2 linked regions of the Oryctolagus cuniculus genome follow. The protein of the gene in region 1 interacts with the protein of each later gene in a pairwise test. Links are inferred from orthologs where the notes say so. Each region holds a gene or a part of one and is shown on either strand. Other genes may lie near its edges.

Evidence for each region.
Region 2: the proteins of KIF2A (region 1) and LARP1B interact in binary tests that used the Homo sapiens proteins (3 or more experiments, as listed by UniProt). The two-hybrid records come from large-scale screens. The link is inferred for Oryctolagus cuniculus from reciprocal best matches to the Homo sapiens genes KIF2A and LARP1B.

The regions. Positions count from the first base shown.
Region 1 is NC_091445.1:83,169,530-83,176,863, forward strand, and holds part of KIF2A (kinesin-like protein KIF2A), read left to right. Parts: intron 1-4,521; coding exon 4,522-4,616; intron 4,617-5,078; coding exon 5,079-5,198; intron 5,199-6,215; coding exon 6,216-6,270; intron 6,271-7,334. UniProt on the Homo sapiens protein: Plus end-directed microtubule-dependent motor required for normal brain development. May regulate microtubule dynamics during axonal growth. Required for normal progression through mitosis. Required for normal congress of chromosomes at the metaphase plate.
Region 2 is NC_091439.1:36,675,090-36,683,145, forward strand, and holds the start of LARP1B (la-related protein 1B), read right to left. Parts: upstream 4,870-8,056; 5' UTR 4,585-4,869; coding exon 4,062-4,584; intron 3,881-4,061; exon of another isoform or gene 3,776-3,880; intron 653-3,775; exon of another isoform or gene 70-652; intron 1-69.

The DNA.
Region 1 (7,334 bases):
TCTCTGTGCTGTCTCTGGATAGAAGACCATAGGTTACAATTTATCAGGGATAACTTTGCCCTGGTGGTCTACCTTTTTTGCACACCAAATTATCAGTATCCTAAGTGACTCCTGGTTGCCCAGGAAGGTTGGAATACTGTGGTAAATGCCTAAGAGTAGCAATGATATGGTCTTGCCTTTTGGAATCTGCACAGTTTCCCTCATTCTTGTTATTTTGGTAATTCTTTTGCTGATTGCCAGGGACTCATCTCCACATTTTTCCTCAACAGCCTCATTCACAGCCTCTCAGCTTCCTGCTGAGGATTATTAATCTGGTGTTCAAATATTTTTAGCCTGGGTTCGAATGCCTTCCTTCATGTTGATGAATTCGTATCATGGTCTTACATTAATCCCTTTCACTTTTCCCGAAACCTTCCTTGCAGTAGTCGTGTGCCCTGCTGGTCCTTGTGAAGTAACTGAGGCGCTGAAGGTGAAGGTGGCTGCTAGGTCTCACCCTTACTCCTCCTGTTGTGCACACAGTGACTGAGGGAGGCAGGGTTTGACGCAGCATTTGTAGCTCCTCCTCACAGAATGGGATGGGGATTCTCCTGGCTCTTTGGGGTTCACCCTTCATTTTCACTACTAACTGAATTCATTCTTTTTCATTCTCTGGCAACTATGTGGATATGCTGTTACGATGTCCCTCTAAGAAAGAACATCATTTTCAGGGAGTAGGGGATACCTGACAGCTTCCAGCTGTTAGTGCCTTCTGGATCCTTAGCTTTTAGGGGGATACTTCACATTTCTTGGGAAGCCTCCAACAAAGCGCAGCAAGAGGGAGAGCATATCAGTTTGGCCAGTGCAGGACCTCTAAGGGGCAGTCTGCTCCAGAGCTCCCTGCCGTGTTGGCCAAGACTTGCTTAGATCTGCATCCAGGTCTGAGGCTTTGTCTACCCAGCCTGCTTCAAGTCCCCTTCCTTTCTTGGATTTCAGATCTGCATCCGTGTCCAGTGCTCTTTCTTCCTCCTTTTACCTTTTATCCTTATATCTTTCACTGTAATAATTTAGTAAATATGTTTATATATGAAATTACTATTAATTATTACAGTATATTTTAAATGATACCCTATGCCTTATTACAATAATATTGTCTTATGTACTACATACAAGGATCTTCAAAAAGTTCACAAGAAATGTGTATTATGAAGAAAACTGGCCGGCGCCGTGGCTCACTAGGCTAATCCTCCGCCTAGCGGCGCTGGCACACCGGGTTCTAGTCCCGGTCGGGGCGCTGGATTCTGTCCTGGTTGCCCCTCTTCCAGGCCAGCTCTCTGCTGTGGCCAGGGAGTGCAGTGGAGGATGGCCCAGGTGCTTGGGCCCTGCACCCCATGGGAGACCAGGAAAAGCACCTGGCTCCTGGCTCCTGCCGCGGCGGCCATTGGAGGGTGAACCAACGGCAAAAGGAAGATCTTTCTCTCTGTCTCTCTCTCTCACTGTCCACTCTGCCTGTCAAAAAAAAAAAAAAAAAAAAAAAAAGAAGAAGAAGAAGAAAACTATGCATAAATATACATTTTTACACCTAAATAAACTAATTCAGTTTTCCACAAACTTTTTGGAGGACCTGCATATCTTTTATTTTAGACATTTAAAGAGCTGTAAATTATCCTAAAGTAAATTATAGGTACCCTAAGTATTTCATTAGGAAATTCATATGAAAATTTCGTGTTAAACATTTTATTAGGTTATATTGAGGATACAGATATAGACAGAGTTCCTACCTTTTGCTGACTGCTAAATAGAAGAATAAGTGGAAATTGATGAAATAAGTAAAAATGTGCATGTTTATGAATTTGTTCTAAGGAAATAATTGACAAATGTATAATAACAGATATATAGTAGTATTCATTGCATTGGGTTTTTTTTTTTTAAGATTTATTTATTTACTTGAAAGTCAGAGTTACACAGAGAGAAAAGGATAGAGAGAGAGAGGTCTTCTGCCCGCTGGTTCACTCCCCAATTGGCTGCAAAAGCCGGAGCTTCTCCAATCCAAAGCCAGGAGCCAAGAGACTTCTCCAGGTCTCCCAAAGGGGTGCAGGGCCCAAAGACTTGGACCATCTTCTACTGCTTTCCCAGGCCATACCAGAGAGCTGGATCAGAAGTGGAGCAGCCGGGACTCAAACCAGTGCCCATATGGGATGCCAGCACTATAGGCAGTGGCTTTATTTTTTTTTTTTTTAGATAGATTTTATTCATTCATTTATTTATTTGAAAGGCAATGTCACAGAGAGGCAGAGGTAGAGAGAGGTCTTCCATCTCTGGTTTATTCCCCAGATGGCCACAATGGCAGGAGCTGTGCCAATCCAAAGCCAGAAGCTTCCTCTGGGTCTCCCATGCAGGTGCAGGGGTCCAAGCACTTGGGCCATCTTCTGGATTCCCAGGCCATAGGAGAGAGCTGTATCCGAAGTGGAACAGCCAGGACTTGAACTGTCGTCCATATGGGATGCATATGCAGGCGGTTGCTTACCCACTATGCCAAAGCGCTGGCCTCAGTTGCATTGTTTATAATAGTAAAAACATTGCAGGGTGGGCATTTAGGGTAGCAGTTAAGATTCTCGTATCTCACATGAGAGTTAGGTTAGGGGTGACTCCTGACTCCTGACTGTCGCTCCCCCATTCATGGAGGAACGACACTAGACCCTGCGCTGTTCTTTTGTCTGCTCGGCCCTTCCCGGGTTTGCTGCTGGTCCTTCCCGGGTTGGCTGCCGACCCCTCCACCTCCGTGGAGGGGCGGCTCCCCCTGCCACTTTCCCCGCTTCTGCGGGGGAGCGGCACACCGCCGGCCGGCTCTCTCGGGGGCTGCTCAGATGTTATCCGGATGTTCCTGGTGCATGTTGTCTCTCTCCTCCTTTATAGTCCTCTTCCACCAATCCCAACTCTGCTACCCACACGCCGAGCACGCTGCTCTCCTCCAATCAGGAGCAAGATCAGCTCCTGCAGCTCATCAGTCAAGTTGGCGAGAGGCAGCTGTGTAGAAATTGTTTTCTCCTCTCCCAGTGCCATATTGTGGGAGAGCAGATGCATAGAATAAGTCTTAATTCCAGTAACTTAGTCTAGTCCGAGTTGCTCCCCACACCTGACTTCAGTGGCTTCCTGCTAATCCAGCAGTGAAGGTGCAAGTGATTGGTTTACCACCATCTAGGTCAAGTTACTAGCTCCCAGTTTTGAATAAAGTCCAGGCCTAGCAATTACAGGCACTTGGGAAGGGTCTCTCTCTCTCCCCCCTCTCAGATAAATAAATAAATGATAATAATTAAAAATCTCCTGGGAACGAACCTTGAAAACATTAAAAACCAAAAGGTTAACATTCTTGTGATAAATATAATGGAATATTAGGTAATAATTTAAAATTATTTAGCTATATAGTATTTTTTAAGATTTTATTTATTTATTTGAGAGGTAGAATTACAGAGAGAGACAGAGAGAAAGGTCTTCCATTGCTTGGTTTACTCCCCAGAAGGCCACAATGGCAGGAGCTGGGCCATTCCAAAGCCAGGAGCAGATAGTTCTTCCGGGTCTCCCATGCAGGTGCAGGGGCCCAAACACTTGGGCCATCTTCCACTGCTTTCCCAGGCCATAGCAGAGAGCTGTATCGGAAGAAGAGCAGCTGGGACATGAACTGGTGCCCATATGGGATGCCGGCACTGCAGGCTTAGCCTACTATGCCACAGCACTGGCCCCGGCTCTATAGTTGTTAACCAGTAAGATATACAATCTTTTAAGAGTGGGAAAGCGAAGACTGGAGTGGTCAGGCAAAGTAAGGAGTAAAATAGATTTAGATAGATAACGTCTAAAAGAGAACATTTGATTTTTTTAAAATTTTATTTATTACTTTAATTACAGAAACACAGAAATATCCCATCCACTGTTTCACTCCTCAAATGCCTACAACAGCTAGCTGAAGCTTGTCGGGCTGAAGTCAGGAGCCTAGAACTCAGTTCAGGTCTCACACATGGGCAGCAGTGTCCCAGTTACTCAAGCAATCACTAGTGCCTCCTCAGGTGCACATGGGCTCTGCTATCCCATATCAAGGCACTGGTTCAGGATCCCGCCCCCTGCTGGTATGCCCGGGAAAGGAGCAGATGAGCCAAGTACTGGGGCCCCTTCCATGCGGGAGACTTGGGTGGTGCTCCTGACTTTGGACTAGCCCAGCCCCTGCCTTTCTGGCTATTTGAGGAGTGAACCATCAGATCAAGACCTCTTGTTCTTTGTCTCTTCGCTAGCTCTCTGTCACACTGCCTTTCAAATGACTATTTTGAGAATATATAAAACAATCTCATCGGTTTGCACAGTATGGGATAAAAAATAATTTTTTAAAAATGATGAGTGAAAATATATAAGTATAGTATTAAATTGGCTTATGATTTTTTTCTGTGTTCGGTAGTCATTTATTAAATCATTTTTTAAGTTATAAAAATATATCTGACAGTGTTTAGGAATGCCGTAATTTGTAGCTTTAAAAATATGTATTTTATTCCCACTTAGGCCGAATACATCAAGCAATGGTAACATCTTTAAATGAAGATAATGAAAGTGTAACTGTTGAATGGATAGAAAATGGAGATACAAAAGGCAAAGAGGTATGATCATTAAGTTAAATTCTATTTGTAGTCCTGCAGTCAAGAAAACACAAAAATGTGTACCTTTCATATAGTATGTGTATTCTTTATAATTTCTTGAAAATTTTGAAATGATTAAACTTTTCAATCAGATTCTTTCTTACATACCTTTTGTAATTGCACATGTCACTCCTATTATACTAGATGAAATATACTATTTTAACCCAACTCAAAACATTTGAAAGTTACTGTAAAACTAATTGGTTCTGTTGGTCACTGTGTTAGCTATTTATATAATCAGATTATATACTATTTTAAGAGATATATTTTAAATATATATGGACTATAATTATAAATAATTATTTTGCAAAGCAATGCCATTCATTATGCTGAACTCATTTAAGAATTACTCTGTCTAAATTTATTTCAAAAATAAAAGATTAATTTGTCAAAATACTCTTTTACAATATCAATTTTAAATAGATTGACCTGGAAAGCATCTTTTCACTTAATCCTGACCTCGTACCTGATGAAGAAATTGAACCCAGTCCAGAAGTGGCTCCACCTCCAACATCTTCATCCAAAGTAAACAAAATTGTAAAGGTTGGTGTGATGAAATTTAGAGGAAGGAGTGTGTGTGTGTGTGTGTATACACAAGTGTGCACTGCTTTGAAATTGGTATGCTGTGGAGAGTAGATTTAAAGGATTTATTGGTTTGCTTTTTTAATATTTATTTATTTGAAAATCAGAGTTACACAGAGAAGGAGAGGCAGAAAGAGAGAAAGAGAGTCTTCCATCTCTGATTCGCTCCCCAGTTGGACTCCATGGCTGGAGCTGCACCGATCTGAAGCCAGGAGCCAGGAGCTTCTTCTAGATCTCCCACACGGGTGCAGAAGCCCAAGGACTTGGGCCATCTTCCACTGCTTTCCCAGGCCATAGCAGATAGCTGGATCGGAGAGGAGTAGCCAGGACTCGAACTGGCACCCATATGGGATGTTGGCGCTGCAGCTGGGGCTTTAACCCACTGCACCATAAGCACAGTTAATAATAAGTCCTTAGAATAGGGCCCGGCTCATATTAATTTCTGAATGTTATTTGGGTGTGGGGGAGGAAGAAAAATATATAAAGGAACCTGACTTGATAGCTATGGAAGTAACTCATCAGAAAATTTTGAGGTTTTTTTTTTTTTTTTTTTTTTTTCAATTTCATTTTATTTTACTATATGTCTGCTTTTTGTTTAATTAAAAGAATATGAAATCCTGGCCTGTGCCGCGGCTCACTAAGCTAATCCTCTGCCTGTGGCGCCGGCACTCTGGATTCTAGTCCGGTTGGGGCACTGGCTTCTGTCCTGGTTTCTCCTCTTCCAGTCCAGCTCTCCGCTGTGGCCTGGGAGTGCAGTGGAGGATGACCCAAGTGCTTGGGCCCTGCACCCGCGTGGGAGACCAGGAGGAAGCACCTGGCTCCTGGCTTCAGATCGACGTAGCTCCAGCGTAGCAGCCATTTGAGGGGTGAACCAACAGAAGGAAGACCTTTCTCTCTGTCTCACTAACTCTGCCTGTCAAAGAATATGAAATCCTGGCATGAAGAGAAAAAATAGAGCAAACTTTTTTTCTTTTGTAGAATCGACGAACTGTGGCTTCTATTAAAAATGACCCTCCCCCAAGAGATAACAGAGGTAAAGTAAAAATTTATCTCTTAATTTGCCTGTCTACTTCTTAGTATGTCCTTAATAAGGAAAACCAAAAGTAAATACTGGAACAGGTGTGTGGTGCAGAGTTCAGAATGTTGCTTAGGATCTTATTGTCTCCTTCTTTCCCTCTTTTGCCTTTCCCTCTCTGTCTCTTGGCTTTCAATAAATAAAAGTAAATTTTAAAAAATTACTTAAACATCCTTGATGTTGTTATTCATTTAAATTTATGTGATTCATTTTAAAATGTGGTATCTTCCTGATATCCTAGTGCAGTGATGTCCATAAAAAAAGATGACTTATAAATGGCTGTGATGAATATAAACCCCATTAAATGTCATCTTTTATTAATTTCAACTACTCAGTATATTTGAAGAGAGTGTATGAGAAGGAAAGCAGTTGGCAAGGAGTCAGTTGATAGAATTTCCAAGAATGTATTTAATCTTCACATTTGCCATGATTTTCTGGCTAAAGGGCTTCCAAAAAAGGATAATGGTTAGCTTTGGAATCAGTTACAGAGTTTAATTGGCATAAATTGTAGTTAACTACAAGTCTTCCGTATTCAGCCATAAGATGTAAAGCGTAATTAATTTCTACATTTAACCATTCAGAAGTACCCTTTCTGATAATGTTTCTGTGTGTCTTTGGCTAGTCAAACAGGACCGCCAGAGGGAGTAGAGGAGACCTTAGAGGTAGAGGAAAAGTCTTTCCTTTAAAGACTATCTGAGTCTTCTGAAAAATTGCATTTCTTTGTAAAATGTGTTATTTATATTTAATTTTAGATTCCTTTTTCCAATTTTATAACATCTACATTGGGAAATACCTATATTCTCTACTGAAGATTTATGTTTGAGGAATAAAGAATAATATTGGAATATTGGAAGCAATGAAGGAATTTTCAGTTCTATGTTCTATATATCTAAATAGTGTCAATCAATTTTTAAGTGCTTATTAAAAATCATGTTTGACTTTGGTTTTTATGTAAATTATCCAGGTTGAGTATTACAGCTAAAATTGCATTGGTGGAAGGTAAGTCTGTGCATAGTATTTTG
Region 2 (8,056 bases), on another chromosome or scaffold:
ATACGAATACAACTTTAACGAACTGCAAAGTATCAGCATGGTGCTATAGCCCGTGTATAAAGCCATCACCTGCAAAGCTGGCATTCCATATGGGTTCCAGTTTCTGTCCCTGCTGCTCCACTTCTGTTCCAGCTCCCTGCTAATATGCCTGGGAAAACCTGCAGAAAATGGTCCAAGAGCTTGGGTCCCTGCCACCCACATGGGAGGCCCAGATAAAGCTCCTGGCCATTGTGACCAACTGGGGAGTGAACCACCTTAAGGAAAATCTGCGTGTATGTGTGTGCTACTGTTTCAAATACAACAATTTAAAAAAAAAAAAGACAGACCTAAAAACAAATTTAAGGTACCAGTGCCTCCAAATATATATAAAATACACATGCTGTGTTACCCACATGTGTCTACCTTTTAAAAACCATTGGATGAGATGCTTTTTTGAGGAATATTCCAGTATCTTTAAAACATTATTCTTAAACTGTGGGAAATTTTTTAGAGCTTCAATTCTCTAAACGAAAACTTCAGTGCAGCAGAGTTTAAGAGAATGCATTGCGCCAGCCGCGGCGGCCATTGGAGGGTGAATCAACGGCAAAAGGAAGACCTTTCTCTCTGTCTCTCTCTCTCACTGTCCACTCTGCCTGTCCAAAAAAAAAAAAAAAAAAAAAAAAGCATTGATAGTATTTCACATGATTTTATCATTTGAGGGGGGAAATGTGGTAAAGTGCCCTTTTGCCATAGTGAATTCTTTTCCCCCAAAGATTTATTTGCTTGAAAGGCAGAGGTAAAGAAAGAGGTCTTCTATCTGCAGTTTCACTCCCCAAATGGCCCCAACAGGCAGGGCTGCACTGATTCGAAGCCAGGAGCCTGGAGCTTCTTCCAGGTCTCCCAAGCAGGTGCAGGAGCCCAAAGACTTGGTTGGGCCATCTTATACTGCTTTCCCAGGACACTGGAAGAACAGCCGTGACTTGAACTGGTGCCCATATGGGATGCCTGCACTGCAGGCTGTGGCTTTACCCCCTATGTGACAGTGCCAGCCCCACCACAGTGAGTGTTTTAAATGTTTAACAATGTATAGACTCCATTCTCATACTCCCATATAGTAAAAGTATCAATTTGCATAGAACAGCCCTGTGACCAAACTGTTCCATTTCTCAGCATCTACCCTAGACAAAGGCATACCAGCATCCCAAGAGGTATGCATAAAAATGCTAATTGTCTCCATTTAAATAAGAAAATGGAACCTATTTGCTAAGTTAATGGACTACTCTTCTGCAATTTTTGAAAGAAATTTAGATTAAAAAGGATCAATTAACACTTAAAAAATAGACATTTTATGTTCTAAACACATATACAGAACATATTTAGAAGCAACGTCATAGGAAGTCCTGAAAAGATATTTGGTAAACGGGTGATTACTTTCTTTGAAGGAGAGGGACATCCGAAGTTCTATTTTTATAGAATATATTTATGGATTACTTACATAATTTAACTGTTATTTCATTAGAGTAATAAGAGTAACATAATTGAGATTTCTGAGAAGTAGACATTGGGAGAAAAGAGAATTAATGAGCAATCAATATAGGATCAAAATAGAATAAAGCTGAAATAGAAGAAAAAAATTTTTAGATATTATGTTTTTGTGAGTGAAAGAAAGGAAATTAGAAAGCAGATTTTTAACATGTAAAATAAAATCATAGCTACAAGTGATTAATAAATTCCATATTATGATTTTAAAAAGTCTCCAATATAAATAAAATTATTTTAACACAACATGAAGACACAGATTAGGCCAAGTTCTTTCTGGTCTCCTAACTGAATTCAAGACAGCAAGGGCACTAAGCCTCTCAGATGGGTCAGGCTTTGGCTGAGTGCCTTCCCTGGATCTCTAAACAACATCAATACACTCCAGAACACCCTACAAGTGGAAGAAAGTCTCACAAAGATATCAAGAGCCCACTTCATTTAGGTCTGCAGGTACTAATACAGAGAAAATTCAAGATTTATCCCCTGAAATACTCCCCTATGTTTCCAACCTCGGTAATAAATTTTCTGGCAAAATTCTGGGCACAGAATTCCTTTACCTCATTAGCAGAATAACAGAAGGTCCCCGTTCAGCCAAAACAAACCTGGCTTAACTCTGTTGCTAAAGCATGATTAATATGCTTCCCTTTCTGAGTATTCTGTTTTGTAGATTAACTTTTACAAGTACCCTACCAATAAATTACTAATTTAACACTTCTTGGTTTGTACCTACTCTAAACCCTAAATAACCTTCTTTATTCTTGAAGTTATAAACTTGTTTAGGAAAATAGGAAGTTAAAGTACACAGGTAAATATACAGATGGTTCTCTGGTATTAGGAAACTTATCCATTTACAAAGCCCAAAAATCTTGCCAGAAGTCAACTAGTTAGTGAGTACCCAAGTGTCTCAGCACAGTGCATTCCTACATCACAACCTCTTATCTAAATTAGCTAAGTTACTCAACTGCAAATAAAAGTTGTAGAACAGTGCAGGCCACACTGGACAAAGACTATAGTTAATACACTGCTTCCAGTAAGAGTAACAGTATTCCTGGGTGCACAGAATGGATTCCAAAGACACAAAGTGTTTCCTACAGAAACATCAACAAAACCGAAACTTCGTGAATCCCACCATACATCAAGGATCACCTAATTCTTAATCTTCAATGAACACTGGAGTAGGAAGGCACCTGTTAGGACATTAAACTGAAATATTTTCACCAATCATTTGCAATTAAAACCCCCAAGTCACTTTTAAGTCTTAAAACCTGTAAAATTGGTTTTACAACCAATCAAGAATTCATTTTCTGGTGTTTACCCGATATAATGTATAATTAAGGTTAGAAGTAGGGAGGTAAGACAGCCATTCAGATTTTGCTTTCTTTGCTAAATTTTACTCTCTTCAATAAGTAACAGGCAGCAGGGAATTACACTAATATTAAACCTACAGCCAATTTTAATGTTTGCTCCAACTATGGAAATTAATGAACAACGAAGGAAGGAAGTGCATTTCTGTACAAAAACTAAAGAATTCAGTGAAGTCAACACTTATCTCCCTCTACTGGAGTTCCTGGGAAGAAACGTGGGTTTACAACAACCGCCTTATGTTTTATACCACCACATCCTTCATCTCATTTGATTCTCACAACCCCGTAAAAGTGTTCAAATTTTTTTCTGTTCCACTGTTAACCTTTAAATTTAAGTAGCAAAGCCTTGCAAGAAAACAGCTGTTATGTCTACACAAAAGCTCAATTAATTCATTATAATTTAACATGGCAAAAATGAAAGACACTGCCTTTTCATTTTATCTAGCTTTTCCATTTTTAAAACAACCAGGGTAGTTGCTGCAACCAAAATAAAGCACCAAGGGCCATACTGCATAGATCAGCATTCAAATGCTGACCACACAATCTAATCTCAAAAGGGAATAAGAGCTCACAGAATGTTAGATCACAATTTCCCTAACGTGCAATTCTCTCTCCTGTGTCAAACTATCCTGTTTCAATTATTTTCACTCACAATCATCGCCCAAAGCACTTTATGAGCCACCACACTCAGGGTCTCATGTTCAATGACTCCTTAGCAGTGTTCTGAAAACCTTGATTTTTTTTTCCGTTTTATCAACAAAACATCACAATCGCATTTCCACTTGGAAATAAATCTCCTTTGCTCCAACTTGCTGTAAATCTATTTACAAATCCGCCCAAATTTCCCCCCTAGAATGAACCGCGCTGACGATCCAAAGTTAAAGCTACTTTACCGAGTCACTCATTCACACAGTTCTGGGCCGCGCCAGCGGGGCCGCGCTGCCAAGTTTACCCCCTCCGTGCCCCCATCAGTCAAAGAGAACCTGAGGTCCCACCTCTTCCTGTCGCTCCCTTCCCACATGTCCATTTATGTAAATGGGTATCGTGAATGACACCTTGGCAAGAAATACCTTCGACTGACAGGGAAGCCGGGCCCGCCCCTCCCCCAGCCCCGCGCGGCCAAGTCCAGGAGTCGCCCCTCCGCACCCTCCCCGAGCCCCCCGCGGAGAAGCCACAGACCTGCCTCCAGAGTCTCCAGCGGGGGCGGCGGCGGGCCCGTCCCGGCGGGGGACAGGTGCTGGGGAGGCTTTTTGGTCCAGGGGTTTTCCTTAGGCGGCAGCGGCGGCGGTGGTGGTGGCAGTGGCGGCGGCGGCAGCTTTTCCTCGGGGCCGGCCGCTGCCGCCTCATCTCGGGCGTCCTCGGCCGGCGGCTCCCGCGGCGGCGGTGGCAGCGGCTCCCCGCCGAAGGGGCCCCCGGGCCCGCGCGCCTTGTGCGCCAGGTGCAGGGACAGGGGCCTCACGGGCACGGCCGCCTGGGGCACGCTGTGTCCCAGCACTGGCACCGGAGACGGCTCTCCCCGCGCCCCCGCGCTGGTGCTGGCCGCGGCCCTTTCCTCCCTCGCCGCCTCCTTCCCGTCTCGATCCGGCGGGGGCGGCTGCTCGGCCTGCCGGCTTGCCGCGGCCAACCGCGACTCCCTCTCTGCGGCCGCCGCGGGCGGATCCTCCCGAGAGTGAACGGCGGGCACCGGGGCGCGAGCAGACATCGTCCCCTTGCCCCAGCCACCCCAGCCGGGGGGGGCCCGGGGCCAGGGAGCCCGGGTGCCCGTCGCTCCGCCGGGGCACCGACTAGCGCCGGCCTGGGGCACAGAACCCGAGAGCCCGGCCGCCGTCGCCGCCACCGCCGCCCGCCGAGGCCGCGCAGCGCCCGGCGTGCCGGCCCGCGTCGAACGGAGCGCTAACCGCCCGCCGGCCCAGCCCTCGTCGGCGGCGCACGCCCAGAGCCAGCTAACACGCGCCGGGCGCCGCAGCCGGGAGCCGCGAGCCCTCACCTGGCGCGGGCAGCTGCGGAGGAGCCGGCAGCCGGGCTGGAGGACCTTTAGCGGCGTCTGGAGGCGCAAGCCGCTCGCGCCGGTAACTGCTCGAGGGGCGGGGCGGCGGCATGCGGAGGCGGGCCGAGGGGCGGGGCGGGACCTCCTCGCGGAGCGTGACGTGGCTGCTCCCCGACCCCGGCCGCCGCCGCCGCCGCCGCCGCGCTGCGCGAGGTGGCCGCCCGCCCTGAGGGCCGGCCCCGCCCAGCGGCCCGCCGAGGGGAAGGAGGGCGCACCGGGCGATTCCCGGCTCGCGGGTGACGGTCGCCCGGGCTGTGAGCGCAGGGGCGGGGCGCCCGCCGGCCCTCTATGACTCGCCGGCGGGCTCGCGCTCGGCTCCCGCGGCGGCGACGACCGCCACCCGGGCGCGGTGCGGGGCGGGTGGCGCACGTGGCGCTGGGGGAGCCGCCGGGCGATTTGCCCTTAGGCTCCGGGACCGAGTGGCCCCTGGGCGAAGGGCGCTGGGGCGGTGCTGGCCGCCACCCCCACCAGCACCGGGTGCCCCCGCGTGGGCCGGGGTCTCCGACCGGGCCGCTGTGCCCTTTGCGCCCAGCGCCTTAGCGCGGTGAAAGTTCCCTCCCTGGCGCTTCGGGGGCATCGCGGTGACCTGGAATCTGGAGCCAGGAACGCAGTGAAAGCGGTGTTATCTGTAGGTAATTGTTTATGAAACCTTTGCCCCGAAATTTGAGTTACTGCACTTCCCTGCCCTGATTCCCACCCACAAACTGAAATATTTTTAAAGCGCCCTTGTGTGAAACAGCTAATATTTCGCTTTTGAACTTTTTTATTCAGTATCCCTATAATTTGAAGGACTAACACTTGATGACGAATTATATTTTTTCACTAGAATGAATTTTAAAGTAGTACAAATTTTTTGATGATAAATCCGATAGGAGCTTCTGTATGGCTCTCAAATTCAGTTAGACATGATACTGGTTTTATGTGCGTTTATTTATGAGTTAATGTTTATGTGCGGGTACAAGGTCTCTGAGCAGAGATTCAATTCAATCAGATTTTTTTTTCTCAGCCCTTCCCCCACCCCTGTAAGGATTTGGGAGGAATTCTTCCTGGTTCCTTTAAGGCTGCCAAACCACGCACATATAATGTCTGGGATTCCCACCTCCCTTGGGTTTCACTTAAATCACATTAAATTTGAGGTTACGGGGTGTTTTTTTGTTTGCTTTTCGCTTTTTTTAAAGATTGATTTATTTATTTGAAAGGGTTACACAGAGAAAGGCAGAGAGAGAGAGAGGTCTTCCATTGCTGGTTCACTCCTCCAATTGGCCACAACGTCCAGAGCTGCCTGGATCAGGAGCCAATAGCCAGGAGCTTCTTCAGGGTCTCCCACGTGGGTGCAGGGGCCCAAGGACTTGGGCCATCTTCTACTGTTTTCCCAGGCCATAGCAGAGAGCTGGGTTGGAAGCAGAGCAGCTGGGTCTTGAACCAACACCCATTTGGGATGCCGGCACTGCAGGCAGCGGCTTTACCCACTTTTTGTTTTTAACTTAAATTATTTCCCTAAGGCTAATAATCTATTTATTCAGCAGCTATAAACAATAAGACTTGTGTTCCATATCAGTAATCTCTAATTTATCAGACCCTTATCCACCTCCTGAATCCAGTTGTGATTAAGTGAGAATTTTACTTCCATCTATATCCCTGAGATGGGACACTTTTACCAGCTCTGTTATGAGTAAAGCTTTGTGTTTTTAACTACCGGGGCCGGTGCTACGGGGCAGCAGGTTAATGTCCTGGCCCGAAGCGCCAGCATCCCATATGGGCGCCAGTTTAAGACCAGGCTGCTCCACATCCGATCCAGCTCTCTGCTATGACCTGGGAAAGCAGTACAAGACGGCCCAAGTCCTTGGGCCCCTGCACCCACGTAGGAGACCAGCTGTTGCAGCCAATTGTGGAGTGAACCATCAGATGGAAGACCGACCCCCCCCCCCCCCCCGCCGTGTAGCTCTTTCAAATAAATAAATGAATCTTAAAAAAAAAAAAAAAAAAAAACAAACTACCAACTTGTTCTTGTTGTAATCAGCCCTTTGGAGTCCTGCCAGGTAATCCTTGCCTCCTTTTACAAAAGCCTATCAACAAGTTCACTGTGACTGTGACTCAGAACACGTTATTTTACTCTCTATTCAAATACACATGGATTAAAGACTGGTGAGTCAGTTGAGAAAAGGTAATATGGATTGGTTCTCCCAAGTTTGATTTACATGGGCTACCTAACCATGGTTGCTTCATTTTTTTCATTGTCATCTTTTTAAGTGAAAAGTCATATAGGGATTTCTTAGGTAAAGGGGAAGGATTAATGGAGAGCTTTTTTTTTTTTAATGGAAACATGGTTTGCTTGCAGAGAAGGAAGAACTGGAGGATGACTGAGTGTTCAGAATCAGACTGCAGTGTGCACCACTAACTCAGTGAAGGGAATTGGTATTTGTCTCCCTTTCAAATGCATACAAGTAACTCCTGTGTCCCCATAACTTCCTCTTTGAAACACCCTCACCTATCTTGTTGTTGCCCCTCCATATCCACTCTCCACCCTCTCCCCCTGCTCTAGTGCCAGGGAGGGCTAACCTGTTGAGATTGCACCAATGGGCTCCTTTGTCCTACTTGGTATCGGCATGGGTTCTGGCAGTGGGAATTATCTGCAGGACACTGTAGGCCAAAAAATAGTAAGGTCATGGTCATTCCCACAGCTGAGTCACATGGCTACTGGACTTTCTCAGTACTCTTACCCTCTCCACTCCTTCCTTTTATTTTAATGGCCTGGGGTACCCTACCAGTCCATGGGGTACTGCCTTGTCCCTTGTTGATTTCCACGACCATGCCCACATCTCTGTAAATAGCCCTTTTAGTAACTTCGAAATAGGGGCCAGTGCTGTGGCAGAGTAGGCTAAACCTTGGCCTGCAGCGCTGGCATCCCATATGGGCACTAGTTCATGTCCCAGTTGTTCCTCTTCTGATCCCACTCTCTGCTATGGCCTAGGAAAGCAGTAGATAATGGCCCAAGTGCTTGGGTACCTGTACAAGTGTGGGAGACCCTCAAGAAGCTCCTGGCTCTGGCCATTGCGGTCATTTGGGGAGTGAACCAACAGATGGAAGACCTTTCTCTCAGTCTCTACCTCTCTCTCTTTCACATAAA